4 linked regions of the Pelodiscus sinensis genome follow. The protein of the gene in region 1 purifies or fractionates together with the protein of each later gene. This does not show direct contact. Links are inferred from orthologs where the notes say so. Each region holds a gene or a part of one and is shown on either strand. Other genes may lie near its edges. The genes, in order: CAMKV, NAF1, PNISR and GPATCH8.

Region 1 (8,001 bases):
CTGGAAAGGTATAACAAGTGGGGTTCCACAGGGGTCTGTTTTGGGACCGGCTCTGTTCAATATTTTCATCAACAATTTAGATATTGGCATATAAAGTACGCTTATTAAGTTTGCAGATGATACAAAGCTGGGAGGGGTTGCGACTGATCTGGAGGATAGGTCTGAGGTAAACAGGATGAAGTTTAATAAAGACAAATGCAAAGTGCTCCACTTAGGAAGGAACAATCAGTCTCACACATACACAATGGGAAGTGACTGTCTAGGAAGGAGTCCGGCAGAAAGGGATCTAGGGGTTATAGTGGACCACAAGCTGAATATGAGTCAGCAGTATGATGCTGTTGCAAAAAAAGCAAACATGACTCTGGGATGCATTAACAGGTGCGTTGTGAGCAAGACACGAGGAGTCATTCTTCCACTCTACTCTGCACTGATTAGGCCTCAGTTGGAGAATTGTGTCCAGTTCTGGGCACCACATTTCAAGAAGGATGTGGAGAAATTGGAGAGGGTCCAGAGAAGAGCAACAAGAATGATGAAAGGTCCAGAGAACATGAGCTATGAAGGAGGCTGAAAGAATTGGGTTTGTTTAGTTTGGAAAAGAGAAGATCGAGGGGGGACATGATAGCAGTTTTCAGGTATCTAAAAGGGCGTCATAAGGAGAGAAAACTTGTTCATCTTGGCCTCTGGGGATAGAAGAAGCAATTGGCTTAAACTGAAACTGCAGCAAGGGAGGTTTAGGTTGGACATTAGGAAAAAGTTCCTAACTGTCAGGGTGGTCAAACACTGGAATAAATTGCCCAGGGAGGTTGTGGAATCCCCATCTGTGGAGATATTTAAGAGTAGGTTAGATAAATGTCTATCAGGGATGGTCTAGACAGTATTTGGTCCTGCCATGAGGGCAGGGGATTGGACTCAATGACCTCTCGAAGTCCCTTCCGGTCCTAGTATTCTAGGATTCTATGACTTCTTCCCAGCCAGGCAGGGGACTGGTCTGTGAATCACTCCAGGCTTCCACGTAGTCTGTGCGCTCGGGTGTGACTGTCGTCCTTTCACCGCAGTGTGTTGGGAACTCCCTCTGCAGTTTAAAAGTCCAGGTGCTCTTCAATTCTGGCCCCAAAGCATCTTCGCAGGGGTCTGCTTTACAGTAGAATGGGCACGATCCTGTCCGCAAATGGAAGCCTTGCTGTCTCGGGTGGGACTGGAGACACGCCGTGCAGCTGCGGGGCCGCGACAGGAAGGAGCAGATACGGCACGTTTGACACCACTTCCACAAACTCTTTGGATGCGAGTGGAGCCCCGCTGCCACGCGCCGGCTCCCAGCCTTGAGAACCAGAGGCTGCCGCTTTTCCTGTGACGCTGAGCTGTCGGAACTCACGCCCGGGTACGTGGACGGCTCGCACGGTGCCGTGCGCTCCCTGGGCCCTGCAGTCGCCACCCGCCGCAGCCACAGAAACTCCTGGGTTCAGCCCGCCAGGCTCACCGGCCCCTCACGCAGCACTTCTCTGCAGCCAGCCCCTTGCACGCCTTCCGCAGAAGCGGCAGCACTCGGTGCTGGGGGCAGAATCGTCCCAATCTCACGATCAGGGGAAAAGCTACAGCAGGGTCCGCCTGTGAACGGCCCCCCCCCCCCCCATCTTCTCAGAGGACCCCCCCACACACACAGGGCCGGGCAAGCTCAGCCGGAGGCGTCCGGGCCAGACTCACGTTTTGATGACCTGTCCCAGGTCATATCTGTCCGTCACCTCGGATGGCTGGTTGTAATCCTTCTTGTCTCCCAGGGTGACGCAGCCAAACGGCATCGCCGGGGCCGGTGCTGGAAGGCAGAGAAGCAGCGAGTGAGGAGGGCGTTTGCATGACCCTGCCACTGGGCCACACTGCTTCCTCCGGGCCTTGCTGGTCAGGCCCCCCCGGCTGCCAGTGGCCTTTCTGGCACTTCCTGCCCCGCTAAGGCAGGGCTCCTTCGCAGTCCCCTCCCCCCAGCACGGCCATTTCCCATTCCAAAGCAGAGTGCCAGCTCCCTGCTGGGGTCTTCCTGCCCCGCAGGGGGTCAAACCTCACTCCGTGCAGTCCCACCACTTCGCGGCTTCTCCCCAGGAGAGAGTCCAGCGCGGCTCAGCTGATTGGCAGAGCGCTGGTGGTGCACATCCGCACAAGCCTTGGTGCGCAAAACAAATTTATTCCACACGGGTGGAAACGATCATTGGGAGCTTTGCCGTGGAGTGGGGCTGACTGAGGCCAGGTCTGTGCCCTGTCACCTGCGCTCACCAGCCTGGTGGCCCAGCTGCCAGGAGGAAACTGCTCCCCCTCGTGCTGACACTGAGCAGGGGGCTGCCAGTCTGCTCACCAGCCCAACACCCAGTGAGGGCCGCCAGCCACACCCGCCCGCAGAGCCACTGCAACGGCCCGGAGCACGGCAGGTTCCTCTGCCCAGGGTAGGCAGGCGCTGGGTGCCCGATCCCAGCCCTGCCCAGGCAGACCCAGCGTGCCCAAGCCTGCCCCGGTGGAGCGGTCTCTGTGGGCCCCATGGCCGCACCGCGTGGGACCCGGACGCACGGCCCAGCAGGCAGCCGGCCGGGCCCTTGGCTCTGTCCCCCCCCCCCCCCTTCCCCCGGCCATTCCCTGCGGAGCCCGGCTCTGGCTAGAGGAAGCTGGTGGGAAACCCTCTGGCAGTGCCCTTTGGTTCCCACGTCTCCCCCCCCCCCTCCGCTGCTGTGTCTGGGCCCATGGGCTCCCAGCGCTCTGCCGGGCAGCGGGATGCCAGCCTGGGCACGTGGTGACCAGGGCGCTCTGCCGCGCGGCCCAGCCTGCTGCAGGCCCCGTGTGGGCACCTCTCCGCCCGGCCTGCTCCATGCCCTGGCACTGGGCCTGCTGCAGCACGGGGCAGCCGCTAGCCGGGCCACGAGGGGCTGGGCTGGGCGACTCCCGCAGCAGCGCCCAGGGCCATGCCCTGCCCGCACAGCCCAGCTGCAGGGCCACGGGGCAGCTCAGGCCGGGAACCAGAGCCCCGACCCCCTTGCTCCCTCAGCCGGCCCCACCCCCTCCTCACAGACTTGCCTTTATCCTTCTGTACAACTCCCATTGCCATAGCAACAGGCTCAGCGCCTGTACCCAGAGCAGCACGCACTGTGCCTCCCCCCGCCTCCAGCAAACAGGTGCTGAGACCCTGGCCCAGACCCTCCCCTCCCCTCCTGCTGTGGGCTAGGGAGGAGCAAAGAGGGGGCCCCCTCCCCAATGCCTCCAGCTGGCCCCGGGGCCCCACTGAACAGCTGACTGGGGCCAGTCCGGCTGGAATCACTCGACTGATGGGCCCCGTTTTATTTCCAGCTGCTCCGGGCTCAAGCAGCCCTGGAGCCAGCCCCTTGGCTGGCTCTGCAGCGGGACGCTCCCTCCCTGGCCTGCCGCGAGCCAGGCACGGCCCCCCCCCCCACATCCGCACAAGCCTGACGCTGGGGGTGCTGGGCCAGGGCTGCCAGCCGGCTGATGGCCAGGGCCCTACCAAACCCACAGCGCTTCCAGCCTGTAGCATGCAGATTTCCCGGGGCCCCCAGCCTCTCTCAAACTGGGCTCTTGACCCCAAGAGGGAGCGGCCGGGGGTTACCAGGTTGTTTTGGGGGAGGGGGAGTCACAGCATTGCCACCCTTACATCTGCACTGGCTTCACAGCTGGGCAGCCGAGCGTGGTGGTGGTGGGCCTGGCCCCCAGCCCCGAGGGCAGCACCCCACCCGTGGCAGGGCAGACGGCTAGCAGTACTGCACCCCCACACACAACTCCTTCTGGTCAGGGCCCCTACAATTACAACACCCTGAGATTTCAGATGGGAACAGCTGAAACAATGAAACCGACTGTTTAAAACCCTGTGATGTGAAATTGACCAAAAAGGACCATGAATTTGGTGGGTTCCTACTTGTTGTGCAAACCCACAGACCCTTGCCCCCACCCCTTCCCCGAGGCAACACCCTTCGTCCACCCCTCCAAGGCCCCTCCCTGTCACTCCACCCCCGCCCCTCACTCACTCACTTCCAGGCTGGGGCGGGAGATTAGGAGCTTGGGGGGGAGGCAGAGGATCAGCACTTACCTTAGGCTGGCACTTCTGGGAGCCACCCAAGTGTCTCCTAGATGGCTGGGGGTGGGGGGAGTCTCCATGCCCACAGCTCCCATTGGCTGGAGACTGCAGCCAATAGGAGCTGCAGAGTCAGAGCTCATGGTGAGGGCAGCAGAGATGGGCTGGCTACTTCCGGGAGCAGCGTGTAGCAAGGGAAGCAGGAGGCTGCCTTCGGGAGCGGCCTGAGGCCGGCTGCAGCAGCTGATGCCCCAGGTGGAAGGCGCGATCGGCACCCCCGCTGTACGGCTGCCAATGGCCGTGACGTACCCATCGGGCACCCGGTGACGTCATCATTGGGTGCCCCAGGCCAGTGGCGCCCTAGGTGACCGCCTAGTCTGCCTAAGCTCACGGGCCGCCCCTGCCTGCCTTGGCCCTGCTGTGCTGCCGGCAACAGCGGCTCCCAGGCCCTTCATCACCCTGGCTCCTGGAGAATTGCCCCTTGCCCTCCCCCATCCAGCGACCTGCGCTCCCACTTGGACAGCTGTTCGGCACCAATGACCTTGCCCTGGCTCATTCCCGCTCACCCTACCCCAGGCCGACGTGCTTCCTGGGCAGCGGCCGGCTCCATCCCAGCACCCACGCCCGAGCAAGTCAGTGGCCTGCCATTGGCACCTGGCACTGCACGGGCCCGTGCGGTGGGTGAACCCCTGCCCCATCCAGATGGCAGCTGACCGCTCCCGCAGAGAGCCGAGCTCAAAGGTACCCGTCATCCCCCGCTGGCCCATGAGCTCTGGGGTCTCAGCCTGGACGGCAGCCCCCGTGCTGCTAGCGAGAGCAGGTTCTTGCTGGGGAAGGATCCAGGGCCACTGCACAAGGGGATAACAATCTACTACTGCTGCAGACTAATGGAGCCACATGGGGGGATGGCCTGTACCTCAAGCTCCTGGGAGCAACGCCTGCGGATAAGTCATGAACACTGTGGGAGGAGCCCCCCATCTTCCTCTGAGATTAGCTGCTGTTTGTGCAGGAAATGCCATAGCAAGCAACCTGTCCCCGGCCCTCACCATGCTGCGTCAGGAGGAGCTGCAGACCGAGGGAGCCAGGGATCAAATCACTGGCAGGAGGCAGTACACGGGTTCAGCTGGCAGCAAGGGGTCCGGGGAGAGGAGAGGGTGTGGGGCCGGCCACCACGAGTGAGGGATTCGCCAGGCCCAGGGACCAGGCTGGGGGGGCGGTCCTGGGGGTCTGGCCTGGCGTGGCTGGAGCTCTGACTCTGCCGGGCAGCAGTCACTGGAACCACGCAGCGATGCCCTGTGGGGCTGGGCGCACGGGGCAGCAAAGGGGGCCAGGGAGCTCTCCTGGCTGCGTGGGAAGGACAGCCCCGGCAGGCGGCGAGTGGGACGTGAGGGAACAGCAAAGCGGGGCCGAAGGGGGCAGAGGAGGGGGGGCAGAGCGGAGCCAAGGGCGGGGCAGGGGCTTCCCTTTTCCTTCGCTCTAGTGACTAATGTACCAGCCTGGCCCACTAAGAGTCAGGTGCCCGGTTCTTGGGGGAGGGGGAGCGGGGGAGGGGGGCCCATGGGCAGGAGGGGAGAGGACACGTGGGGCCAGATGCGCCCCATAGACAAGGTCAGAAGGGGCCCGGTGCCACTGCAAGGTCTGGGACTCACGTGCAGCATGCCGTGCCCGGGGGCAGGCTGTGCCCAGCTCTGGGGGGAGGCGGTGGTATCCAGGGCCCTGTCCCACGCCAGGCAGCAGGGGCACTCGCCCTGGGCCCTGCCACAGGGGGTTGGGCCCCCGGCAGCCTGCGGGCCTGGCCCAGCGGGAGCTGCCCCCAATGGCCCAGCCCTCTCCATGCCCTCAGCCGCCTGCCCGGAAGGGGCAGCGGGTTCCCCGGCCCACGAGCAGGGAAAGGAGGTTACACGTCACCCCAGCACTGGGGCTGGTACCACGTCTGACCAGTTCATTCCCTGGCGGGGCTGTGCTGGCAGCCAACACACCCGCAAAGCAGGGCCTGGGCCAGCTGCTTCTCTGCCCCCATCGCCCTCTTCTCGGCCGGCCCAGCCCGGGCTCCCCTGCTTGCTGCCGTCAGTGCCTCGGGGCCCTCCGGGGCCTCCGCTGCAGGCTCCTGGCCAGCCTCCACCCCAGGAGGAGAGCGCAGAGCCCGGAGGAGCCGGCGGCACAGGGCAGGCGGGTGAGCTACAGCACGTGGGAGCGGCCCCAGAGGGAGCAGGCAGGGCAGCGGGAGAGACGCAGCCTGGCGCCACGTACAGGGCAGAGTTAGCAGCTGCCTCGCGCCCACCTGCTGCCCAGGCAGGCTGAGCTGGCACAAGGCGCCTGCCTCTCAGGCAGATCATGGGGCAGCGTGAGCAACGGCCCCAATTCAGCGCCGTGGGGCCCATCTGCAGGAGCCAGGCAGCCAGGCCTGGGCAGCCCAGGGAGAGCCAGCCCCACCCCGGAGAGTGCTGGGCAGGAGCCAGAGAAGCGGGGCTCCGCTCCCGGTTGCCAGGAAAGCCCCATCCGGCCAGTGCGGAGCTGGGCCGAGGGGTCGGGGGGTCAGGACCAGTAAGAGGGGGCAGGATAGCTCTGCTGGCTAAAGCTCAGTCACTAGCAGGCAGGCACCCCACTGCCCGTCACAGCCCCGGGTGGCGCTCAGGGGACCGCAGGACACGCACCCACTAGAGCTGGCGAGGGGGACACGGCCTGCCAGCCTGGATCTCGTTTGCAGAGCCCAGCGCTTGCTCCAGAACCTGCCCTGCACAGCTGACTCAGCCGCCACAAAGAGCGCCCCAAGGGCCGATCGCAGCTCCCCGAGCAGTAGCCGGGCACACCCGCCCCCTTGGCTGCCGGGCGTTAACCCTGGAACAGAACGACGCACACAGACATCGCCCACTCACTGTGCACGTGCGCAGCGGAAACAGCCGCCAGTCCCCCTCCCCCGCTCTTCCCGCCCACACCCCTCGCAGGGCTGTCACACCGCCTGCACCGCACGAGACAGCGGGGCCGGATGACATCCAGGCTGGCGAGAGCCCCTGGCTCCCTCCTGGCTGAGTCTGCCGCCGACTGTGCCCCCCGAGTCAGGCGCCAGCGCGGGAACCTCCTCCAGGCCTTCGAGTTGCCAGAGGGGATGTTGCATTGCCAGGCTGCCCCACTAGGGGGAGCATCATGCCCCTTGGGGCGGCCTTGCACAGCCAGGCTAGGGGGCATTGCCATGCACTTGGCATGGACGAGCTGCCCAGCCCAGGGCCCCCTTTAGGGACTGGGGGGGCAAAGCGAGCACGGAATCTGGTCCTCAGCCAGCAAAGGGGAGCGCTGCCCGCTAGGGCTGACTGTTCCCGCCAGGAAAGCGGCTGGCAGCCACGCCAGGAGAACGGGACCAGGGACAAGAGGGGGCACAGGACGTTCTAAGGGAAGAGACCGCCTCGGGGAAACAGGACAGCTCTCGGGCTGTAATTACAGACCCAGCAGCTCAGCGCCGGTCCCAGGCCGGGGGCTCTGGGGAGCCGGGGGCGGGGCCGGTCCCAGGCCGGGGGCTCTGGGGAGCCGGGGGCGGGGCCGGTCCCAGGCCGGGGGCTCTGGGGAGCCGGGGGCGGGGTGACTGGGGTTTTATTGCTCAATCTGAGAGTATCCAGTAAGGTGGCACATGAGTATCCTGCACGCCCCACCAGGGGCCACGTGCCCCCCACTGAGTAGCGAGTGTGATCGGGCCCTATGGATGGCCTAGGGCAACGACCCCATACCCCTAGGCTGGGCGGGAACGTAACTCTGCCATGGGCGCGTGGTGGCGGAGAGCAGGAAGGGCCAAGTGAGTCGGTCCATGTTCCTGGTACGCTAGAGACCCCAAGCAGACTGGGGAAGGGCCGCCGTGCATGCACACGCACACGCACGCGCACCCGCGCAGCCCCTGCCCCCAGCGCCGAGCAGCTATTTAAGGCACGCCGCCGCAGCGCAAGACACAATAGCTG
Region 2 (7,611 bases), on another chromosome or scaffold:
ATTATACTTAAATCTATTATCCTAACTCAAAAAAGGGCACAACAGGCCAGTTACCAGCAATGGGACAAGACAATTATATTTCTTAGATTGTAAATGTATTGGGTCTACAAGTGTTTATATAGCCCTGACTGAGGCCCCATTTTACTAGGCTTGCACTATTGTAATTAAATTTGTGTTAAGGTGTTTTAAGTGTCTATTGCTATAACTTAGGCATAAGACAACATTACACTTATTAAACTATCAGCTGCAGAGAACACAGCCATCATTCCTCTACAACCAACAAAAACATTAACATGAAGTCTAGCCCAGTCAAGCAAATGTTTGCTCCAAAAGATACTTTCAGAACATAGTGCAAAATATAACTCCCAGTTCTTACAGATAAGGAACAAGTTTCACAACCAGCAACAACCTCCTGAAAATGGCTTCTCTATTTACCTTGTCAGAAAGGTACACAAAGCACAAGATGTCTTTAAAGCAGCCAGTCCTAAGCCATTAGACTTCATAGGTAAGAAGCAACACTTTGACTTCCACACAGAAGCAGTGCAATTCAAAAAGTTTATGGTGCACAGTTATAACTCAAGTAGACACAGAATATCAGGAACCATTAAGAAAGGGACAGAGAAGTCAGAAAATATAATGCCTCTATATAGATACCTGGCATGCCTACAAGGGATGTAAAAATAATTAAAAAATACTAACCATCTAATTGATTACAATTTAATCAGTGAGACATTTAAACAGTAATTTTTACCCCGCTAGAGGCCCATGCCATGGGAGGAGTTTAACTGGTAACTAGAACCATCTAAACTCTTACATCCCTAATGTCCACATCTTTAATACTGCATGCAAATCTGGACATCATCTCAAAAAAAAGATTAAAGAGGTTCAACCTGTATGTCCACCAACATCCGTGGTCCAGCATGGTTTTAGTTAGCCAGATATCCACTTTATCAAGGGTGTGGCCAAGTTTCCTGTGGTTCATACAGTTTAACAGAGAGCCATGAATGGTGACTGTATTTAGCATTAATTAATCCCTAAAATGTCTTCTAAGAGTCCAGTAAGCAATGAAAGTATTGGTAATGCTGCTAGACAATATTGACCTCCTGTGGTTTGGCAAATACTCTGGTTTGGCACCAGTCAGGTCCCGAGGGTGCCAGACTAGAAAGGTTCAACCTGTATTATAATCGAAAGAGGTTTAGTGAAGAACAACAAAAATGGTTAGATGGATGGAACAGCTTTGGTATGAGAAGTTTAAAAGACTGACTTTTCAGCTTGGAAAAGAGATGATTAAAGGAAGATGATAGATGTCTACAAAATCTTGACTGGTATGGAAAGTAAATAAGAAAATCCGACAAGCATCAGCCAATTAAATCAGTAGGTGGCAGATTTAAAACAGAACCACCACACACACAACACCATCACCCTGTGGAATGTTGTAAAGGTCCAAATCATAACAGGGTTCAGAAAAAAGCTATATAAACTCATGGAGGATACGTCCATCAACAGCTATTAGACAAGATGGCTCAGGGGTGCAACACCATGCTCTGAGTGTCCACAACTTGCTCGCCAGAAGCTGGGAGTGGATCATACAGAATAGAACGCTGGGTGAAACCCTGTTCTGTTTATTCCTCCTGAAGACTCTGGCACTGGCCACTGTCAGAAGACATGATATTAGGCTAGATGGACCATTGTAAAGCCTCTCCATTGCACAAAAGTTAGATATTAGGATTGGTCTTAAAACACCATTTAATACCAATCACTAGACAGTTACATCCTGTCTTGAATTTTTTCTTAACTGAGTTTTCACATATTCAGCATGTATGTTCAGATCTCCTCCTTTCCACAGGGAATCCCATATCTGTGAGAACGTGGAGGACAAAGCACAAGAGTACACCGGGATAACCAGAACAACTGAAATACACGTGAACGGGGCGATAACAATTTCCAGACAGTGCATATTGACAGGCCCAGGGTTCTGCTTGCTGCCCAGCGCTTCCCCAAGCCGCACAAGGTGAAACTGACAAAACCCGTGCTCAGGTCCACCGCCGCTGCTACTGCCAAGAGCGACCCGACCCGAGCGGCGAGGGCCAGTAGCGGTGGCGGGCTTGGCACGGCAGTGGGCGTGGGCGGCCGGCACAGGGACTAACACGGGCTACGCACCTGTCCGAGTCGGTGCTTGTCTCCCCGGGTTGCTCCTCCTGCAAGCCCTCAGCGCCATGGGCTGCTTCGGCCGCAGGGGGCGAGGCCTTGCCCCGCGCCTCGCTGCCCCCGAGCTCCTGCGCCAGTTGCGGTCCCAAAGCGCTGGGACTCCCCGGAGCCAGCATGTTGTCAAACTTCAGCGTCTCCAGCTGCGCGACGACCTCCATCTCGCCGCCCCCGGGCTCCCGCGCCTCGCCGCCCTCGGGACTCTGCTCCTCGTTAACTCCGGGGCCCTGCTCCTCGCCGCCCCCGAGCTCCCGCGCCTCGTTAACGCCGGGGCCCTGCTCCTCGCCGCCCCCGGGCTCCCGCGCCTCGTTAACGCCGGGGCCCTGCTCCTCGCCGCCCCCGGGCTCCCGCGCCTCGTTAACGCCGGGGCCCTGCTCCTCGCCGCTCCCGGGCTCCCGAGCCTCGTTAACGCCGGGGCCCTGCTCCTCGCCGCCCCCGGGCTCCCGCGCCTCGTTAACGCCGGGGCCCTGCTCCTCGCCGCCCCCGGGCTCCCGCGCCTCGTTAACGCCGGGGCCCTGCTCCAGCTGCGGCCCCAAAGCGCTGGGACTCCCCGGAGCCGGCACGTTGTCAAACTTCAGCGTCTCCAGCTGCGCGACGACCTCCATCTCTCCCACTGCAACCCGCGTGCCTAACGGCCGCGCTTCTCGCCCCTTCCAAACGCAACTTCCGGTTTCCTCTACAAACACACACACGTGCGCGCGGTAGAAGCGGTGAAGCGAAACGACTCTCCCGGAAGGAATGGCGGCGCGTGCGCATTCAGCCCGCGGGCGCCAGCGTCTTCTCGCCCCGCCTTATTCGCTATGCGCGCATGCGCAAAGAATCAACCCCCCCCGCGAGTGTCGGGGAAGCAGCTCCTTAAGGGTGCCTCTTCCTCCTCCCTTTCGGCACTTTTGCCAGTCGCAGGGGCGGAGCCACGGCGCCTGTCAATCAGGAGGCGGGTCCAGCATTCAGCCTGGTCTCCCCAGTCCCCGTCCGAGAGTGTCTGCCTGGACACCCCCCATCCCCTGACAATGGGCCAGGGGTGCTGCTGTGTGACCGCGCGCAAAGCCCCCGCCGCGCATGGTTCCGTGCCCGCCCCTCTCAGCTCCAAAGCAGGGCCTCGGCTCACAGGCAGTGGCGGGCCTGCCTGGCCATTGGCCCTGTGCCCTTTGCTGCCCACATCCAGAGCTGCAGGTGCCGAGCCCAGCCGGGTGAGTGAGACTCTCCTCACCCCTGCTGGGCTGCTCGCATCATGGGACACAGAGGAGAAGGAGGGTGAGGCATCTTAGGCTATGTCTAGCCTGCCGCTTTTAATCGGAAAAAGATACGCAAATTGTGCCCCACATACCTTTTTCTGATTGTTTTGTCGGAAGAGGCTTTTCCGAAATTTGGGCTGTCTACATTGGGACAAACAAAGGAAAAACCTCTTTCAGAAGAGCCCTTCTTCCTAATACGAGGAAGGCAGGACTCCGAAAGAGCGTGTCTCCTCTCCCACAAAAAAATGTCGGAAGAGTAGACGCATTCCCTGTATGCGGCAGAGATTTTCTGAGGTACCTCTGTTATCCCAGAAAAACTCCATAGTCTAGACATAGCCTTAGAGAAGGGCCCAAAGGGAGAGGAGCATGTTATTCTGCATCGCCAGCCTGTGGGGAGGTCTCTCCAGTGAAGGACTTTGAGCAGTGGCAGGAACCAAACATTGACCAGTGCTGTCAGTTTTAAAAAGACCCACTCCCTCTCAGATGATATCCTCTTTGCTCCTGTACCACATGCCTCTGGGACCCCACACTCCTCCAAGAGCAAGAAATGGCTGAACATCCATGAGTTTACATGAGTATTGTGTCCAGTTCTGGGCACCACATTTCAAGAAAGATGTGGAGAAATTGGAAAAGGTCCAGCGAAGAGCAACAAGAATGATTAAAGGTCTAGAGAACATGACCCATGAAGGAAGACTGAAAAAATTGGGCTAGTTTAGTTTGGAAAGGAGAAGACGAGAGAGGACATGATAGTGGTCATCAGGTTTCTAAAAGGGTGTCACAAGGAGGAAGACAAATTGTTCTCATTAGCCTCTGAGGATAGGACAAGAAACAATGGGCTTGAACTGCAGCAAGGGGTCTTTATGTTGGACATTAGGAAACACTTTCTAACTGTCAGTGTGGTTAAACACTGGAATAAATTGCCTAGGGAGGTTGTAGAATCTCCATCTCTGGAGATATTTAAGAGCAGGTTAGATAGACATCTATCAGGGATGGTATACTCTAGGGCTATGACTACACTGGCATGATTTTCCGGAAATGCTTTTAACGGAAAAGTTTTCTGTTAAAAGCATTTTCAGAAAGGCAAATCTAGATTGGCAGGACGCTTTTCCGCAAAAGCACTTTTTGCAGAAAAGCGTCCGTGGCCAATCTAGACGTGCTTTTTTGCGGAAAACAGTACTGTGCTGTTTACACTGGCCCTCTTGCGCAAAAGTCTTTTGGAAAAAGACTTTTGCCCGAGCGGGAGCAGCATAGTTTTTACGCAAAAGCACTGACTGTCAGCCGACGGTCAGGGCAGGGTGTGTTCCTATACCTGTCCCTTATGACCGGCTGAAGTTCTTTTAAATTGTGCTTGGTTCTGTTACAGCAACTGAAGGAGTCAGGTTAAAACTTAAACAGTTACAGGTTTATTAAAGAAGCTTATAAATCATATGGTTACAATGGCTATTGCTCTATTTCTTAACTGCTAGCAAATATAGATCTTAAAAATGGTTACAAAGAAGATAAAGATAGAAAAATAGAAATAATAGTACCAAGTAACAGCTTAATCTTTAAAGAGTTCTAAGTCTATGTGTACACTTAAGACAGAGGACCACATCCAGGTACAATTTTTACCCCCTTCTGTGCCTCTCGACTCCAGTGTGTCAGGCCAGGGCCAGTCCCTCAATTCGTAGGAAAGACGAAAATACGAGGTGGGCGTCCCCATGGAACCTCGGGAGGTCAAAACACCTAACCTGACCAGCAGGTAGAGGGTAGATTGACACTCAAAGTGAGTGTGCTGCTGGACCCATCTTTATACCCATAGGGTCACGTATTTCTTTTTCTTATCTGTGATGCCAAATGGTGCTGGTCTGTCTTTTGTGAGACCAGTTATTACAAGGGAGTTGTGAACTTAATTTACACTTGTAAGAGAGATAACTAAATTGGAAGTACTGGGCATTCTTTTCTCAGTGGGAGATTCCTCTCCCAGGGATGACTGTGTGTGATCGTATCAACATGGGTGCCAGCCGGGGCAGTTCTCGCAGCCTCGAGGTCAGCTTATTGCCTTAATCGCTCTCTCCTCACATCTATATTTTCAGCTTCTCAGGATCAGATGAGCCAGCATAGACTATGCTGATTTTATTGCTCCTTCTCTGCCCTGTATGCTTCAGGAACCTCAGAGAGGCAAATAAGATGGATGTGAGGGGGGGGGGGGGTCTGTCTGGCTACACTGACAATCTTACATGAGATCGTCAGTGCTTTTGCGGAAATTCGAACAGCCAGTGTAGACAGCTGGCAAGTTTTTCCGCAAAAGCAGATGATTTTGCGGAAAAACTTGCCTGTCTAGACACAGCCTAGATGGTACTGGGTCCTGCCGTGAGGGCAGGGGACTGGACTCGATGACCTCCTGAGGTCCCTTCCAGTTCTATTGTTCTGTGATTATGGCCTTTCACAACATAGTTGCTTTATGTGGAAAGAAACAAGTATCTTCCAAGAGAAAAAAAATGAAATGTAACGCTACATTTCTTTTTACTTAAAAGGACTTTCCAATGCTAACAGAGGAACCATTCTTCCGGGCTTCAGCAGCAGCAATAGAGAGAGAATACAACAGAGGAGGACTCTGGCAGACTTGCTCATTGGCATAGACACAAGGAATCAGGAGAAGTTTGAGTTTTAGTGCAAAGAAAGAAAAAAGTCTTAGCCAGGATGAGGCTATAATGACCTGTGTCCTACAAATGGAGATACAGCACAGGCAATAAAAATGTGCAGAGTGAAATGGACAATGTACTCAATGTACTATAGTCCACCTGGTAGCAGAACACTTCTGGACACTGCCTGTTGCTAAATTCTGTCTGGGAGTACCACCACTTCCTCAAATTCCTCCTACAGCAGCTAGCCAAGCTGAGACTATTGCTGAGACTGTGAATCCCATCATATCCATGATGAGAAAAAACATGCTGGAAGCTTGACATAGCGTGCTCCACAGACATTTGAATTGCCTTTCAGAGAACTCATAGGATCATTTAAGACAGGAAACAATGAGCCTGATCCTATCACTGGTGTCCATCCAATGTTTAGTGCCTGTGCGCCCCCCTAAGAGACATTCCCCTTGTCCCCCAACACACAATTCCTCAGGCATGTCCCCTTTGGAGAGAGGAAGGGCTCATAGTTGTTTCCAAAGTCCGTAACTTTTACTTACTTAGGGTATGTCTACACTACAAAGTTAGTTCGAACTAACGGACGTTAGTTCGAACGAACTTTCATAGGCGCTACACTAGCGCTCCGTTAGTTCAAATTTAATTCGAACTAATGGAGCGCTTAGTTCGAACTAGGTAATCCTCATTCCACGAGGATTAAGCCTAGTTCGAACTTACTAGTTCGAATTAAGGGCTGTGTAGACCCTTAATTCGAACTAGTGGGAGGCTAGCCCTCCCCAGGTTTCCCTGGTGGCCACTCTGGCCAACACCAGGGAAACTCGTCTGCCCCCCTCCCGGCCCCGTACCTCTTAAAGGGGCACGGGCTGGCTACGGTGCCTGTGCCAGGTGCAAGCCTGCCAGCACCCAGCCAGCAAACCCTGCACCTAGCACGAATCGAGCCACCCACCCGATGCTCCCCAGCCCTCCCCCTCTTCCCGGAACCAGGCTGGCGGCTCCCGGGAGCTTGCCCGGGACCGCAAGAGGTGGGCACCCGCCTGGGCTAGTGCGGACATCGTGGACCTTGTCCACGATCTCCGCAATAGGCACTGGAATGTGGCCAGCTAGGGCAGGAGAGCTGCCAGCCTGGCCACCCAGGAGCAGGAGTGCGTGAAAATCAAGGTGGTCCACTGAGACCCCGACCTTGAGCCCTGAGCTTACAATGGCCGTCCTGGGTCAGAACAAAGGTCCATCTAGCCCAGTAGCCTGTCTGCCGACAGCGGCTAACCCTAGGGACCCTGGAGGGGATGGACCGAAGACAGTGACCAAGCCATTTGTCTCGTGCCATCCCTCTCCAGCCTTCCACAAACCTTGGGCAGGGACACCACTCCTACCCCCTGGCTAATACCACTCCATGGACCCAACCTCCATGACTTGATCTCACTTCCCTTTAAACTCTGTTCTAGTTGTAGCCTTCACAGCCTCCTGCAGCAAGGAGTTCCACAGGTTGACTCTGTGCTTTGTGAAGAACAGCTTTCTGTTACTAGTTTGAAGCCTGTTAC
Region 3 (7,099 bases), on another chromosome or scaffold:
TGCTGGGAGCCAGCTTAAAAGCCGTTTCCTGGTGTGCATTGGCTCCCAGGAAGCCAGCTGCAGCCTCGCGAAGCTGCCTCTGTAACAGAGGGCAAAAAATGGACAACTGCACTGTCTTATATGCATTTTCTGATGTTTGGTGAGATAAAGATGAACACACTCAGGTAATTTCAAGTCACCATAACCTGCCATATTTCTTCACCTGTCTGTGGATTACATAACCTCACAAATCTGTGACTAATGTAACAAACATATCAAAACTCTTCTTAAATTCTTATATAGATGATTACATTGATATATAAACAGCTGCAGGACTGTAAGTTTACACAAGATTTTTTTTAAAAGTTGTGGTAAAAATTCTACTCAATTTAGAAAACATTCAGAAAAAAATTGATGGGTGCACAAAGAAGTGAAAACAAGACATCCCAATTGAGAGAACTGGCACTGGATTTTTCAAGAGATCATCTAACATACTGCATTTCTGAATAGTACGATCAGTCTATTTTTAGACTGTAATATGCTTCCTGAAGAATCTGTTTTCTACCGAAACCAAGCATACTGATGAGGTACACTGCTAGATACATAAGTAATATCTGTGCACCAAAGAAGGGAACTCTTACAATACTTGGCTAGCAAAATAAATGTAAAACCCATCCAAGGCCCAAGGCAAAATGTAACCTGTCAATAGTAACCTTATGAATTCATACCTGATTTGCCAACCCCGGAAGGAGAGAAAGAAACTGGAGGCACCTGCCCCTACAAAATCTTACTTTGCATATGGATGAACCAAATCAAAGGCCTAACCTGCTTGAAACTGGGGGTTTCATTTTAAAGCAAGAACATGTTACATTCCTCCCCATCCTGAGCGGAAGGCTTTTATTGTGTATTTCAGAGAAGACAATTACAAGCATGATAGTAACAGAAGAAATAATACATTAGACACTATGAGGTTACATTTCTCCAAATCAGACAGCTCCCAGTTTTCAGTGGAACAACGGCTACATAATTAAGGACCCAAACCCTCAGTCCTTATTCACAGCAAGCAGTACATCACTAAATCCTTACACATCAGGGTAATTATGTTCCTAGAAATCTGTGTGTATACGAAAATGCACAATATAAACTAAGAATAAACAGGAAAAACAGTATTACATTCCCATAAATGATAAAATTGTCAAGTTGGGGGCCTAAGGGCTGGGTGTGTGGGACTTGGGAGGGATCACGGGGTACCAGTTCTGGGGAGTGCTCACCTCAGGGGATTCCGTGTGTCTGCAGGAGGCGAAGATGTGACCAGGCGGCTCTGCATGTTGCCTCTGCTCATAGACAACACTCCGGGAGGGAGGGGGGCAGCGCATAGAGCCACCCTGGCCACATCTCTGCCAGGAACAGCAGGCATGAGGAGCACTTTCTAGTGCCCCATCTCCTTGCTCTGAGCTCCCTCTATACCCAAAGCCCTCTATCATGAGCATGCTACATAAAAATAGTACACACAACATAAAAGTAATAGGTCACTAAAACAAAACTATGATATGTAAAAAATGGGTGCTACATAAAGATTTACTGTATTCATACACGATGAGAAGTACTGTGGCACCTTATAGACTAACAGATTTATTGGAGCATAAGTTTTCGTGAGCAAACATCCACTTTGTCAGATGCATTTTGACCACGAAAGCTTATGCTCCAATAAAGCTGTTATTCTGTAAGGTGCCACAGGATTTCTCATTGTTTATGCAGATTCAGACTAACACGGCTACTCTTCTGATGCTTGTGTTCACACAAGCAGTCCCGCTCCATGGAACTGCAAGTGTAAGTATTACTCACTCAACAGGAGTAAAGATTGAAAGCTTGAGATCTGATTACAGCATTTAGAAAAGTTACATCTCTGCTGAGCTGTTCAACTAAGTATAGGCATTTTGCAAATTATAATATTGGTAATACTGCTCCTTAGGAGCCATGAATGTAATGATCATCAGAAGTGAAGATGCAACACAATATATATTTCATATTAAGCATTTAAAAGAGTTATCCTGTTAATTTACCAGTTATAGAATCCTAAGGCTGTTACTGAAAAAAACCTCACTCGTAAGTATTCATGCGTTGGTCATTAGCGCACCAAAATAACACTACATCACTGTATCAACAAGTATTACAGCTAGCAGCTGAAGCAGCTCTCTTTAAGCTAAAAAAAGAAGGGTTTGTGTTTTTCCATCAGGCAGACCATGAACCTAGCTCTACTGCTACTCACTGTCTTGCAAGTGAACAAGGCACAGCCCGAGGCAGAACCGTCTCTGCGACCTAAACACAGCACAGCCTGAGTGTATGCAAACCAGTAACCAGGATGGCTCAACTACGGTTCAGAAGCAGCCCTGGACACAAGGGGCAGGTCTCCCACGCCTACAGGCACACGGCAGAGACATCAACAAAGGGTTTCCCTTCCCGCTTGCATAGCACCGTGTGCCACGCGCTCCAGCCCATTGGGTTCTGCCCAAGTTGACCACTCACGCATGCGCAATACGGGATTATGAGACCCGTCTCCATCAGTATCTTGCATATCCCCCCGCCCACCCTCAGGACAGCAGCGCATGCGCACCGCGAGAAACTGGGGACCACTTTCTCCAGTCACCTCGGTTGTACCCCAGCTCTCTCTCGCAGCGCATGCGCAAGTGCCAACCGCCACGGGGGTGCAAGATGCTTTTCCTCATCGGAACGTAAATCCCCCCCAAGGGCAGAGGGAGCCTCGCGCTAGCCACGAGCTACTCGAACAACCGCGCCGAGCGCCCTGCAGCTCCTCCCCCCTCGGCTCCGCGGGGCGGCGGTGCCGGTCGCTGCAGCCCCCGGTCTCTGCGAGAAGCGCCGCCCGCCCAGTTACTTACATGCGCCCTCTCCTCCCCCCGCCGGTCACAAGCGGAGCTGCGACGTCTCCTTCACCGCCACCACCGCTTCCTCCCCCCTTTACTCCTCGTCTTCACGAACAAGACAACATGGCGCCCGCTGGCTTTCACCCGGTAGTGAAAAGTGCGTCACTGAGCTGACCGCTTCCTGGGCAGGGTGAACGCTCTCGGCCGCCATCTTTAATGTGGGCAACAGACTGGTCGTCGGCAACGCCTTAGCAATCGCCCTCTTTACTAAGGGGAAGGAGGCTTGCAGCCATCTTTAGCAAGGGCAAGCTCCACGCCTAACCCGCCTACCGAGGGTGACTGCACCGCTGTCACGCCTACAACGTAGGGCGGAGAAACCCCTGTGGCTTCGGCAGCGACCGCAAAACGCTGCTGCTGGGCAACGGGAGGTATCTTGAACTGAGCTACAACAGCCGCCCGATCAACTCCTCAGCCTCTCTCCCCTCCCCACTCCATGCTGCTTTCCTACAGCCTCACCTGTGCCCCCTTCCATCTCTGCCACGTGCCGCCCCCTACTCCGTCGCTCCCCCAGCCTCATCACCACACCCCACCCGCTTCACCCAGTCTCCCTCACCGTGACCTGTCACGCTCCTACCTAGCCCCTACACCCCCACACAACGCCTGTCCTCCTCCCTGATCCTCCCACACTTTCTACCCCACTACATGCTGTACCCGCCCCACTCCCACAATCCTCATTCCTTACCCACCTCACCCCGACCTATATCCGCCCTCGCAGCCATCTCACACCACCCCCTTTCTCATAGCCACCCTATACCAGCCCCTATTCCTCACCCACACAACCTGTACCATACAGATCCCTCAACCCTCTCCCCAGGTACACCATCAACATTTACCTTCCTCTTTGTATACATTCCCACCCCAACCCATTTCCCTCCAGGCAGACACACTTTTGTCTCATTCCATACTCCTTGCTGCACACAGACCTCTTGCTACATCCTGTATCCTTCTCTTCACTAAAACACACCTCTGTTCACCATAACTCATCCTCTTACACACACATACATGCAACCTCTACACTTCCTACACCCAGACAACCACAACCTATAGCTTTCCTTACATAGATACTCTTGCCATAAGCCAAAGCTGGTGTCATCTCTGGCCTGTTGAATGATGAGGTCGCGTGCTGAGAAAATGTGCACTGATGCCCAAATTGCAGATGTCCTGAATAGGGACCTGCACTGAGAAAGCAGCTGACAATGCCTGCGATCTCATAGAACAAATGATCAGGTTAATTGGAGGCGGAGCACCTGCCTGATCATAATACAAAGAATAAAATTCTCTAAGCAGAGAGAGGAAGGCCTCCAAGCCTATTAGTTACCACTATAAACAGCTGGCTAGATCTATAGAATGTCTCAGTCCTTTCTCTGTAGAACACTAGGACCTGCCTCATATCTAATGAGTGAAGACATTGCTCCTCTATTCACATGCGGTTTCAGGCAGAAAACCAAACTGAAAATTGCTTGACTGCAATGGAACTGTGAATCATTTCCAGGAGGAAAGAGATTGCAGGTGTAAGTGCACCTTATCATTTAAAAAAAAAAATCAAGGTACAGTGGTTCTGATGTGAAACATGGAGCTCCAACAGCCTTCTGACTGACGTGATGACCACTGAGGCGGCCATCTTTTAGAAAGATGTGTTAATGAGCATGTTACTAGCAGCTCAAATGGGGAATACATAAGCTTTGATAAGATGAGGTTTAGGTTCCAGGAAGGAATGGGTTCTCTAATCTGAGGGTATAACTGCTAACTCCTTCAGGAAACAGACATCACACAGGAGAAGAGACACCTGGAGTGAAGAATGTGACAGCGAAATTGGGCTCTAGGAAGACCAGATGGAGAACTGCTTCTATTTTGCAAGGTAAGTAACCTTGATAGAGAGCTTCTTACTACCTAACAAAACCAGATCACCTCCTCTCCCAGACTGAGAGCTAAGGTTTGGATGGGGCAACCGACTGTGATCAAGTCTGGATGTAAAGGAAGCAGATGTGGGGCTGCCACCGAAAGAGCAGTGGTGAACTAGCATGGCCTTAGCCATGCTGGAGCTATGAAAATGATTCAGTCCCAGTTGCGCTTGATCTTCATCAGAACCTCATGGACTAGCAGAATAGGGGAAAAGCATAATACAGCTGATTTATCCATGGTAGCAGGAAAGCATCCAAGAGATACCCTGGGCAGTGACTTTGCCATGAACAACACGAGTGGCACTTCCTGTTGATCTGGATAGCAAAGGTGTCTATTAGGGGATTTCTTTAATTGACATGTTTTTGTTACACTATCCCAATTAAATAGTAAAAAAAGTATGGTCTAGAAGGAGTTTTCAGGAACACTTTGTGGACACGTCTTAGGGTCAACTACAGTACCTGAAAAACTGGCCAATTGTATGGCTGTCGTGGCGACAACTACCCGAAGTGTGGAAAACTACTCCAGACTTCAGTAATTATTGATTTCTGAGGTGTTTTACTAATCACTTGTGAACATCTGTTAGTACTCAATACTAAAAGTGCAGTTTTCGATGAGAGCATACTCAGGCTAGGTCTACACTGCAGGCTTCTTGCACAAGAACTTCTTGTGTAAAAAATCTTGCACAAGAGTGCATCCACACTGCCATGTGCTTTTGCACAAGAGCATCCATAGCAGTGTGGATGCTCTCTTCCTCAAGAAAGCTCTGATGGACATTTTAACCATAGGGGGTTCTTGTGCAAGAAATTCATGTTGCCTGTCTACACTGCCTTCTTGTGGAAGAGCTCTTACACAAGAGGGCTTATTCCTCATGGGGAGAGGAATAACTCTTCCAGAAGAAGCCCTGTTTTCCGATGCTATACTGTAAATTTACTTGCTCAAGAAGATGCGTGCAGTGTAGATAGCCGGCAAGTTTTTGCGCAAGAACAGCTGTTCTTGTGCAAGAAGCATGCAATGTAGACACAGCCATATTGTTTGTTCTAGTCTGTCAGTTGGACAGCTGTGTGTGATTTATTTCCTGCCACCACCTTGACAAGAGTAATCGTTAACGAGAGTTTTGGGTTTAAGAACACCAGTAACAGGCCTGGAAAAGCGACTGTATGAGATGGATGCTGGACTCTACTCTGCCTTTAACTAATTAGTCACCAAGATATGGGCAGACATGTACTTCTCGTTTCCACAAAACCACCTCCACTACCATCATTAATTTGATGAAAACCCACAGAACAGTCTGTAGGCTGAATAGGAGTACCATGGACTGGTTGTGTGCGAAGCTCACAACAAATCTAAGTAACCTTTTGTAGTGCTGGAAAATCTATATGTAAAAATAGATATCCTTTAAATCAAGTGCAGTATACAATCCCCATGATCCAGAGAGGAAATTATGGAAGCCAAGGAAACCATGCAAAACTTTGGCAGGGCATCTAGCTGTGGAAGTGGGGCAGGTCTACAATAGGTTTGAGACTACCCTTGGCTTTTGGAATTAGGAAATAATGGGCGATAGAATCCCTTTCCTCTTAAGTTTTGTGGAACCTCTTCCATAGCTCTTTTGACATTTTGGACCAAAATTTGCTTGTGAATTGCATCTGCAGGATTCCTGATGAGTAATAGGAAGGAAGGGTGTGAAATCGGGATAGAAATATGGGTGTACTCCATTTCCACCATGCTCAGTACCCAACAGTTTGTGATGACACGGGACCAGGCATTGATGACATGGCATATGTATCTGAAAAAGGAAAGGTAACAGGATCTGATATACCTGGGACTGGTATGGTGAGCTCAAGGGGCTATCAAAAGGTCCCATTTGATTACTGAAAGGAAGGGAGAATGTGAGACAGTAAGATAAACTCACAAACATTTATTTAAATAACAAGAAAAACAGCTTGGTGATTTTGTGTCTGTTAGGCATTAAAGCCCAGGACTCCTTTCCCTCACAGATAATGATTAAAATCTCTCTCAGTATATTAGAGTGCATCTGTATCTGTGTCTCTGCAAGTCCATTTGTTCAGGAACTCTTCCTAAACAGTAAGAAGTAGGGCCACCAAATTTGGTATGCAGCTTCCTCTTTTAACTTAAGGCAAGGTCAGGGTTTGGTTGTGCTAGGAGAACCAGAATGTCACAGGAAAAGACTGTTTTCCAATCATGCAAAGGGAGAGGTTGCTGTTTCCAGGGACACGATATGAAAGTGGTGACTGGGGGCAGCACGCCTGTAGGGAAGA
Region 4 (6,917 bases), on another chromosome or scaffold:
GATATCCACCCACGCCCACTGAGAGGGAAAACTTTTCCTTCAGCAATTTGTAATTTTTGGGAGAGGCTAGGGAAAAAAGTTCTACTTCAATATAACAACACCACTTTATTTTTTAAGATGCAGCAAAAGTGGCTGGAGCTAGAAACCTAGCATTAATGTAGTCCTCATTAAAGAGCAAAGACTTTTCTTAGCTTTGTAGGAACATAACATTTATATTCAATAGTGATCTGAGCATGATTAGCTGATTTTAGCTGAGGACTAATGGAGATCCGCATCCTTTTCAACAGGACATTTTGCCAGTATAACCAGGGAAATGAAGCAGTAAGGAATGTATAAAAATACTCCCTTCACAGGAAAGAAAGAAAATTGCAAGCACAGAAAAAAAAATGTAGAATCCCTAAGTCTGAGCTAGGGATGTAATAGTGTAGTCGATTAAACGATTGACCGATAAGCAGGTGTTTTATCAGTTAATGCTATCGGCTACACGCAGTCCCTCCCTCCTCCCCTCCATGTTGTTCAAGTAAATTTTTTTAGCAGGCTGGCTCATAGGCTAGCTCAGTCCAGACTCAGGCCGGGTCCTGGCAGCAATCCCCGCTGCTGTTCTGCATTATTATGGGACCCAGGAGCCAGCACGTGGGCAGGCTGCCTCAGTACCGGCTCGTGCCAGGTCCCAGCCAACTAATCCTGCTGCAGTAGTTGCTGGGACTGAGCTGGCCTTCTCACGTGCCAGCTCTTGATGTGCTTCTAGTTCAGAGCCACAGCAGGGGTAGTTGAAGGAACCCAACTAGAGCAGAGACTGAGCACTTGAAATGCAAACACATACCGATTAATCGTGTAGTCGACAAAATTTTGTCAACTACACAATTAACAAAATACACACGTAACATCCCAAGTTTGAGCAATTTTTTTGGCTGAATTTTGCAATTTTTCATGACCTACACTGTTTTCAACTAAAAAGCCTCCTTGAATGGCAGAAATCAATCCCACCAAGAAATGAACTAGAAAGTCTAATTGGATCATTTATATATAAAGTATTTTTTAAATTGAGGAAAAACAAGGAAATTATGCAAAAAGTCTATGTTAAGGCAGCATTTAAAGCACATGGTTAAAATTCACAAAGCAAAGTCAAGTCACTACGTTTGCACAATTTATTTCCCATTCTTATGGTTTCTAGCTAAAAACACGTTTTATGTAGTAAAACATACATTGTATGACTGAATTACTAGCAGTCCTGTGGCACCTTAGTGACACATTTTTCTTAGTCATTAAGATCATCTCAGCTGAAGAAGTGGGTTTTGCTCACAAGGGCTCATGATACTATATTTGTTAGTCTCCAAGGTGCCACAGGACTAGGTTGTTTTTAAAGTTACAAAAGACTAACACGGCTACCCCTCAAACTGAAATTACTAGTGTATTTCCTGTTTTTTTAATGTGTAATCTGAATGCATTAAGTAGATTTGTGTGGGTTTTGATTGGTCATCTTCAGGCTTAGATGAAAGGCAGTAGTATATAGGTACAAAACATTTCAAGAACCTTCAGTCAACATAAAGATGATCTCATAAGTAAAAGTTAATTAATATATGCCCTCTAATTGACATTGACTTAATAACTGTGTTTTACAATAAAATAGAATCTATCATGCTTCGGCTAGGTAACATGAATTGTCATGCCCTGTAAAACAATAATGCCAATTCCGTTTTTAAATTGATCTTTATTTAAAGTGAATTTTTTAATACAGTTTGAACACCCGGTAGCAAGTGTTAATTTTATGGAAAGAATATATCAATTTTTATACAAGAATAAAGTATGCACTTTCCCAGTAAGGCAGGGTCTTTAGCACATGCAGCAGACAGCTGGAGAAACATGGATGGTCTTTTTGTTTTCCCCATATAGAAGTGTAAATACCATTCTGTAGGGAAGCAGGAAACTAGCTCAGAACTGGACAAGAACGCGAGATAACCCAGTCAGGAAACTGAAAAGTCTCTCATTAGAAACCCTGATCTGTTGTAGCATTCATCAAGAACAACAGAATCAAAATGATCAAAGAAGAAAGCCAGTGTAGACACATACTGATTTGTTGTTTTTTGAAGGAGAAACCAAGATGAATACATTTCTGAAAAACTTCACTGTCAATATTTAAGTCTTCTTTTCATGGATGTTTACCCCTTTGAGTTGTTTCTGTTTCTGCTTGCTACATTCTTTTAAAAAATTCTCAATACTCTTACTCTTGGAATTGGGGCATTTTAAATACGAAGACATTATCTTCCTCCCCTCTGTAATGCTAGGTTTCTGAAGTTCCACTTTACTAAACCCAAGCAAAATGCAGGGCTATGGAGCACTTTAAAGACTAACAAGATGGTTTATTAGATGATGAGCTTTCGTGGGCCAGACCCACTTCCTCAGATCAAATAGTGCGCATGAGAAGGACCAATCACATTGCAGAACAGGAGGGGGGTGCATTTTTTAATTGTATCCTTTGGTGTATCTGGCTGTGACGATTTTCTTCCACTATTGATCTGAGGAAGTGGGTCCGGCCCACGAAAGCTCCTCGCCCAATAAACCATCTGGTTAGTCTGCACAGCGCTGCATCGCCCTGCGTTTTGCTCCGGCTGCCCCAGACTAACCGGCTCCACCGACCCGCACTCCCCCAGCCCGCCGGGACGAGGCCACTGGCCGTGCGGGCGGGAGGCGGGCTGCGACCAGGCCGAGGGTTCCAGCCACTGTCCCCGCAGCGCCCCGCCCGCGGGCCGGATGAGGCGCCCCCGGGCCCGGCCCAGCCCGGCAGCGCAGGCCGCGGAGGCCGGGACCCCCCCGGGGAACAGGACCGGGGGGGCTCCCCGCGGGGGGGTTACCTGGAAGTCCCTGTCCTCGTTGAAGCGGGAGAACCTGTCCGCCATTTTCTGCTGCCGTCTCCGCCGCAGCCGCCCCCGCCGGCCTCGGCCTCTCAGCGCCGCCCGCCCGCGGGAGCGCGCCTCGTCATGCCGCGGGAGCGCGCCGCGCGGCCCCGCCCGCCTCCGCCCGCGCGCAGGCGCACTGGCCTCAGAGCGGTTGCGCCCGGGATTGGGGGAGGCGCGTGAGCGCGGGGCGGGGGAATAGAGAGGGGGGAGGGGCGGGAGGTAGGGGAGCCTGAAGGCCGAGGGGGAGGGGCAGGAGGGATCAGAGGGGTATGGGGGGGAGGATAGATGGGGGAGGAGCACAGGCTGGGGGGCACGGAGGGCATGGGGTGGGGAGAAGCTGAGGGGGGAGGGGCATGGGGGGAGAAGCTGAGGGGGGAGGGGCAGAGGGGAATGGGGTGGGGAGAAGCTGAGGGGGGAGGGGCATGGGGGGAGAAGCTGAGGGGGGAGGGGCATGGGGTTGGGAGGAAGCTGAAGGGGGAGGGACATGGGGGGAGAAGCTGAGGGGGGAAGGGCAGAGGGGAATGGGGTGGGGAGAAGCTGAGGGGGGAGGGGCAGAGGGGCGTGGGGAGGAAGCTGAGGGGCATGGGGGAGAAGCTGAGGGGGGAGGGGCAGAGGGGCATGGGGTTGGGAGGAAGCTGAGGGGGGAGGGACATGGGGGAGAAGCTGAGGGGGGAGGGGCATGGGGTTGGGAGGAAGCTGAGGGGGGAGGAGCATGGGGGGGGAGAAGCTGGGGGGATGGGCAATGTTCCCTCTAAGATTTTCCATCCAGCAGTGGAGTGAGTTTTGTCTTGGGTGCCAGTAGGTCCTGGGTGCTTGCGTGGATGGGTGCCACTGTGACACACACCCCCGCCCCGGCGCTGCTCCCCAAGAGACTCTCACAGTGCCCAGGTTTGCAGTTGGTGGGGGGGCTTGAGGGGTAGAAGGGGGCAGGACGTGGAAGGGGGCGGGAGGCTCAGGGCCAGAGGGCGGAGAGGGGAGGAAAGACGGTTGCGGGATGCAGGTGGCCCTGGCCCCAGGAGCAGGCACACCGAGCCCGGCTGCTGCTGCAGCCTAGAAGGAACTTAATATGTAACCAAGTCAGTGACAACAAAGGTCTCTAAGGGCTAGTTCCTGATAAGGTGCTATTGGGGGGATACACCTTTCATTAAACTCACACAATCTCTGCCCTTCAGTCACAGCACCCGCTTTCTTGTGGGTCAGTGTAGTTTTGCAGGTTGGCAAGGAGGAAGTAAAATATTCAGAGGAAATAGCTGTGACACTGTCCCTTACCAATCCTAATTTGCTGAGGGATGGCTTCCTGCTTCCCCTATTTCCAGCACTATCTAATCACCTATCAAACTCAGTATATTCATAGAACAAAAATACCAATAAGGGGCCTACCAACGTTATTACAGAATGGCTTATTTTTTTACACTTTAAAAAAAAAAACTTGTACAATTTTTAAACTGTCTTCCCCATTTTTTGGATAAATTACTGGCATAGTACTAGAGAGATCAGATAGATCTGTACAATAAAAAGCACATGCCATTACAGACAACTTACCCAGAGTGCAGTGCAGGGGTGAGGTCGGCCAAGGGACCAGCGAGGAGGGGACGCAGGAGGCTGTAGTTCCTTGGTGGTGCTCAGGCAAGGCGATGGGAGAGTGGGGGGGGGCAGCATGAGGTAGCGGTCAAGTAGTGCAGGCAGGGCAGCAGCTTGGGCCACTGGCTCTGGATGTGCTGCCTGCACATGCTGTAGGTCATGGGCAACCTAAACCTGAGAAGGAGCCAGAATTTACCAATGCACATTGCCGAAGAGCCACAGTTCGGTCACCAGCCCTGATCATCTCTCCATGGCCGCTCTCAGCACACCCCACCCACGGGCAGTGCCGCCTCCTCCTCTTCCGCCTGCCTCCTGCGATCAGCTCTTTCTCAGTGGGGGACACGGGAGAAGGGAAGCATGGGTGTGACAGGCTCAGTGGAGAAGTTGGGAAGTGGCAGGATCCTAGGGGGAAGGATGGAGGGGCAGCGCCTAAGGCAGAGCTGGGGGTTGAACAGTGAGCACCCTCTGGCCCAGTGGAAAGTTGGCACCTGTAGCTCCAGGCCTGGATTTGGTACTTATGCAAGGAGCCGCATATTAACTTCTGCAGAGCCGCATGTGGCTCTGGAGCCACAGGTTGGCCACCCCTGCTATAGGTGACCAAATTGAGCTGGGCCACCTCCCTGCTGCACTCTGCAGGGCCCTGCCAGCTCTTGGCCTCGTTCTCCCTGTTCTGCGCTGCAGCCCCTGCCCGATTCACTGGCCAGCCCTCCACCACCATCAACGCCTTGTTTGTCCTTCCACATGGGGGGTGGGGAGAATGCAACTCCTCCAGTGGCCACTCCACACCTGACACCCTGGCCGCACACCCCCAACCCTGGAGCAGCGTGCCCCCAGCTGCAGCTCCAACTCTGACAGCCACCACACTGCCCACCCCAGGAGCAGCTGGGCAGCCACCACGTCGCCCTGGCCCCAGCTCCAGCTGGCTGCTCCCAGGGTGGGCCATGTGGCAGGTGGCTGCCAGGGCTGCAGTGAAGTTGTTCCTGGTCCCAGGGATGCCCTGACCAGAGGAGCAGCCCTGGGCCTCCACACCACATGTTCTGGCCCCATGTTCTCGTTCTGGCCCCAAGCAGGGCCACCTGCCACATGTGCTGTCTCTGTCCCTGGCTGGGGCCGTCAAAGCAGCCTCCACCTGCCACACAGCCTGCAGCTCCAGCCCTTGGAGAGGGCTAAAGACAGGGCCAGGGCCACATGGTGGCTGCCCTGCTGCTTCTGGAGTGGGGCAGCCACTCACCATATGGCAGCCACTGCACAGCTCTTCTGCAGAGGTGGGTGGGCTCAAATGTTTAGTGCCCACCTGCACAGGCACACACCTTAGAGGGAACCCTGATGGGGGTGGGGCCAGAAGGAGAGAGATGGGAGGGGTATGAGGCATGCAGCTCCTGCAGATCTATGCCACTGGATTTACCCAGCATTGCTCAGGTTTGTAATTTGGGAGTTTCATCAGGCGTATTTTGTTTCTTCATCTTCGTAAACAAAAACATAGTTTCCAGTAACATTTTCAGTTTAATTTCCAGTAACATTTTCTTGTAGCTTGCAAACCTTCAGCATTGATGTAGCTGTTCCAAAACAGAGCACTGCTCCAAATTAGGGATTTAAGCGAGTAGTCCACGGCCCAGTCAGCCTAGGCTTATTGGGTAGTCAAGTCAATTTCCCCCCTCCCCCTCTGCACCTTGCTGCCTCTGTATCAGAGGTGGGGGGAGGAGAGCAAGGAGCCAGTGCTGGGGGGTGCCAGCTTAAAAGCCAGTTCCCCCAGCACCATCTCCGCAGTGCCGCCTGCTCCCCCCTCAGTGCTGCCTCTATCAGAAGCAGCAGCGTGGGGCAGGGGACCAGGGGAGGCTGCCGTGAAGCAGCATGTGCTTGCAGCAGGCCTAGGCTGGACCAGCAGCAGCCCCTCTCTGCGGGGTGGGTCCAGACTCCCCGCTGGGACCCCTCCCCCCACATGGACAGGGGCTGCCCAGGCTCAGTCCTGGCACAAACCCTGCTGCGGCTCCTCAATTTAAGAGGCAGTAGGAGCTGGGAACGTTCGCTCTGTTACGTCACTTTTAGAACTTGTACTTGCTTTGAGGATTGTCTCCTTTCTGTTTGGTTTTATGAGAAGCAAGCCCATCCCACGCTGCGGTGGGGTGATTGCAGAGAGCCTGTGCAGAGCCCTGGCCAATGAGGGAGAGGCTTTTAAGTAACCAATCAGAGTGTAGTTTGTTGGGGGCAGCCCTGTATATAAGGAGCTGCCCAGCAGAGGTACCTTCCTTAGTTAGGTCCTCAGCGGGGAAGGTACCAGGGCTGATTCTTGGAGAAGCACCTTGGTCTGGTCTGGTTGGGTCGGCTTTGTTAGGGCAGGCATGCCTTGGCACAGGGGAGGGGCAGTGGCTAGAGAGGGAAGCTCAGGCCTGGTATGTGCCATGCTGCTGGTCTTGCCACTAGGGCCAGGAGGATGCCAAG

The links.
Region 2: the proteins of CAMKV (region 1) and NAF1 purify together in Homo sapiens (affinity purification with mass spectrometry; 3 studies listed by BioGRID and IntAct, with this or other methods). This does not show direct contact. The link is inferred for Pelodiscus sinensis from reciprocal best matches to the Homo sapiens genes CAMKV and NAF1.
Region 3: the proteins of CAMKV (region 1) and PNISR purify together in Homo sapiens (affinity purification with mass spectrometry; 3 studies listed by BioGRID and IntAct, counting the BioPlex papers as one, with this or other methods). This does not show direct contact. The link is inferred for Pelodiscus sinensis from reciprocal best matches to the Homo sapiens genes CAMKV and PNISR.
Region 4: the proteins of CAMKV (region 1) and GPATCH8 purify together in Homo sapiens (affinity purification with mass spectrometry; 3 studies listed by BioGRID and IntAct, counting the BioPlex papers as one, with this or other methods). This does not show direct contact. The link is inferred for Pelodiscus sinensis from reciprocal best matches to the Homo sapiens genes CAMKV and GPATCH8.

What each region holds. Positions count from the first base shown.
Region 1 is NC_134721.1:45,788,235-45,796,235, reverse strand, and holds the start of CAMKV (caM kinase-like vesicle-associated protein), read right to left. Parts: upstream 3,013-8,001; 5' UTR 2,848-3,012; coding exon 2,826-2,847; intron 1,811-2,825; coding exon 1,702-1,810; intron 1-1,701. UniProt on the Homo sapiens protein: Does not appear to have detectable kinase activity.
Region 2 is NC_134715.1:62,155,645-62,163,255, forward strand, and holds the start of NAF1 (H/ACA ribonucleoprotein complex non-core subunit NAF1), read right to left. Parts: upstream 3,007-7,611; 5' UTR 2,811-3,006; coding exon 2,161-2,810; intron 1-2,160. UniProt on the Homo sapiens protein: RNA-binding protein required for the maturation of box H/ACA snoRNPs complex and ribosome biogenesis.
Region 3 is NC_134713.1:70,399,742-70,406,840, forward strand, and holds the start of PNISR (arginine/serine-rich protein PNISR), read right to left. Parts: upstream 3,007-7,099; 5' UTR 2,877-3,006; intron 1-2,876.
Region 4 is NC_134739.1:1,370,173-1,377,089, reverse strand, and holds the start of GPATCH8 (G patch domain-containing protein 8), read right to left. Parts: upstream 3,008-6,917; 5' UTR 2,898-3,007; coding exon 2,853-2,897; intron 1-2,852.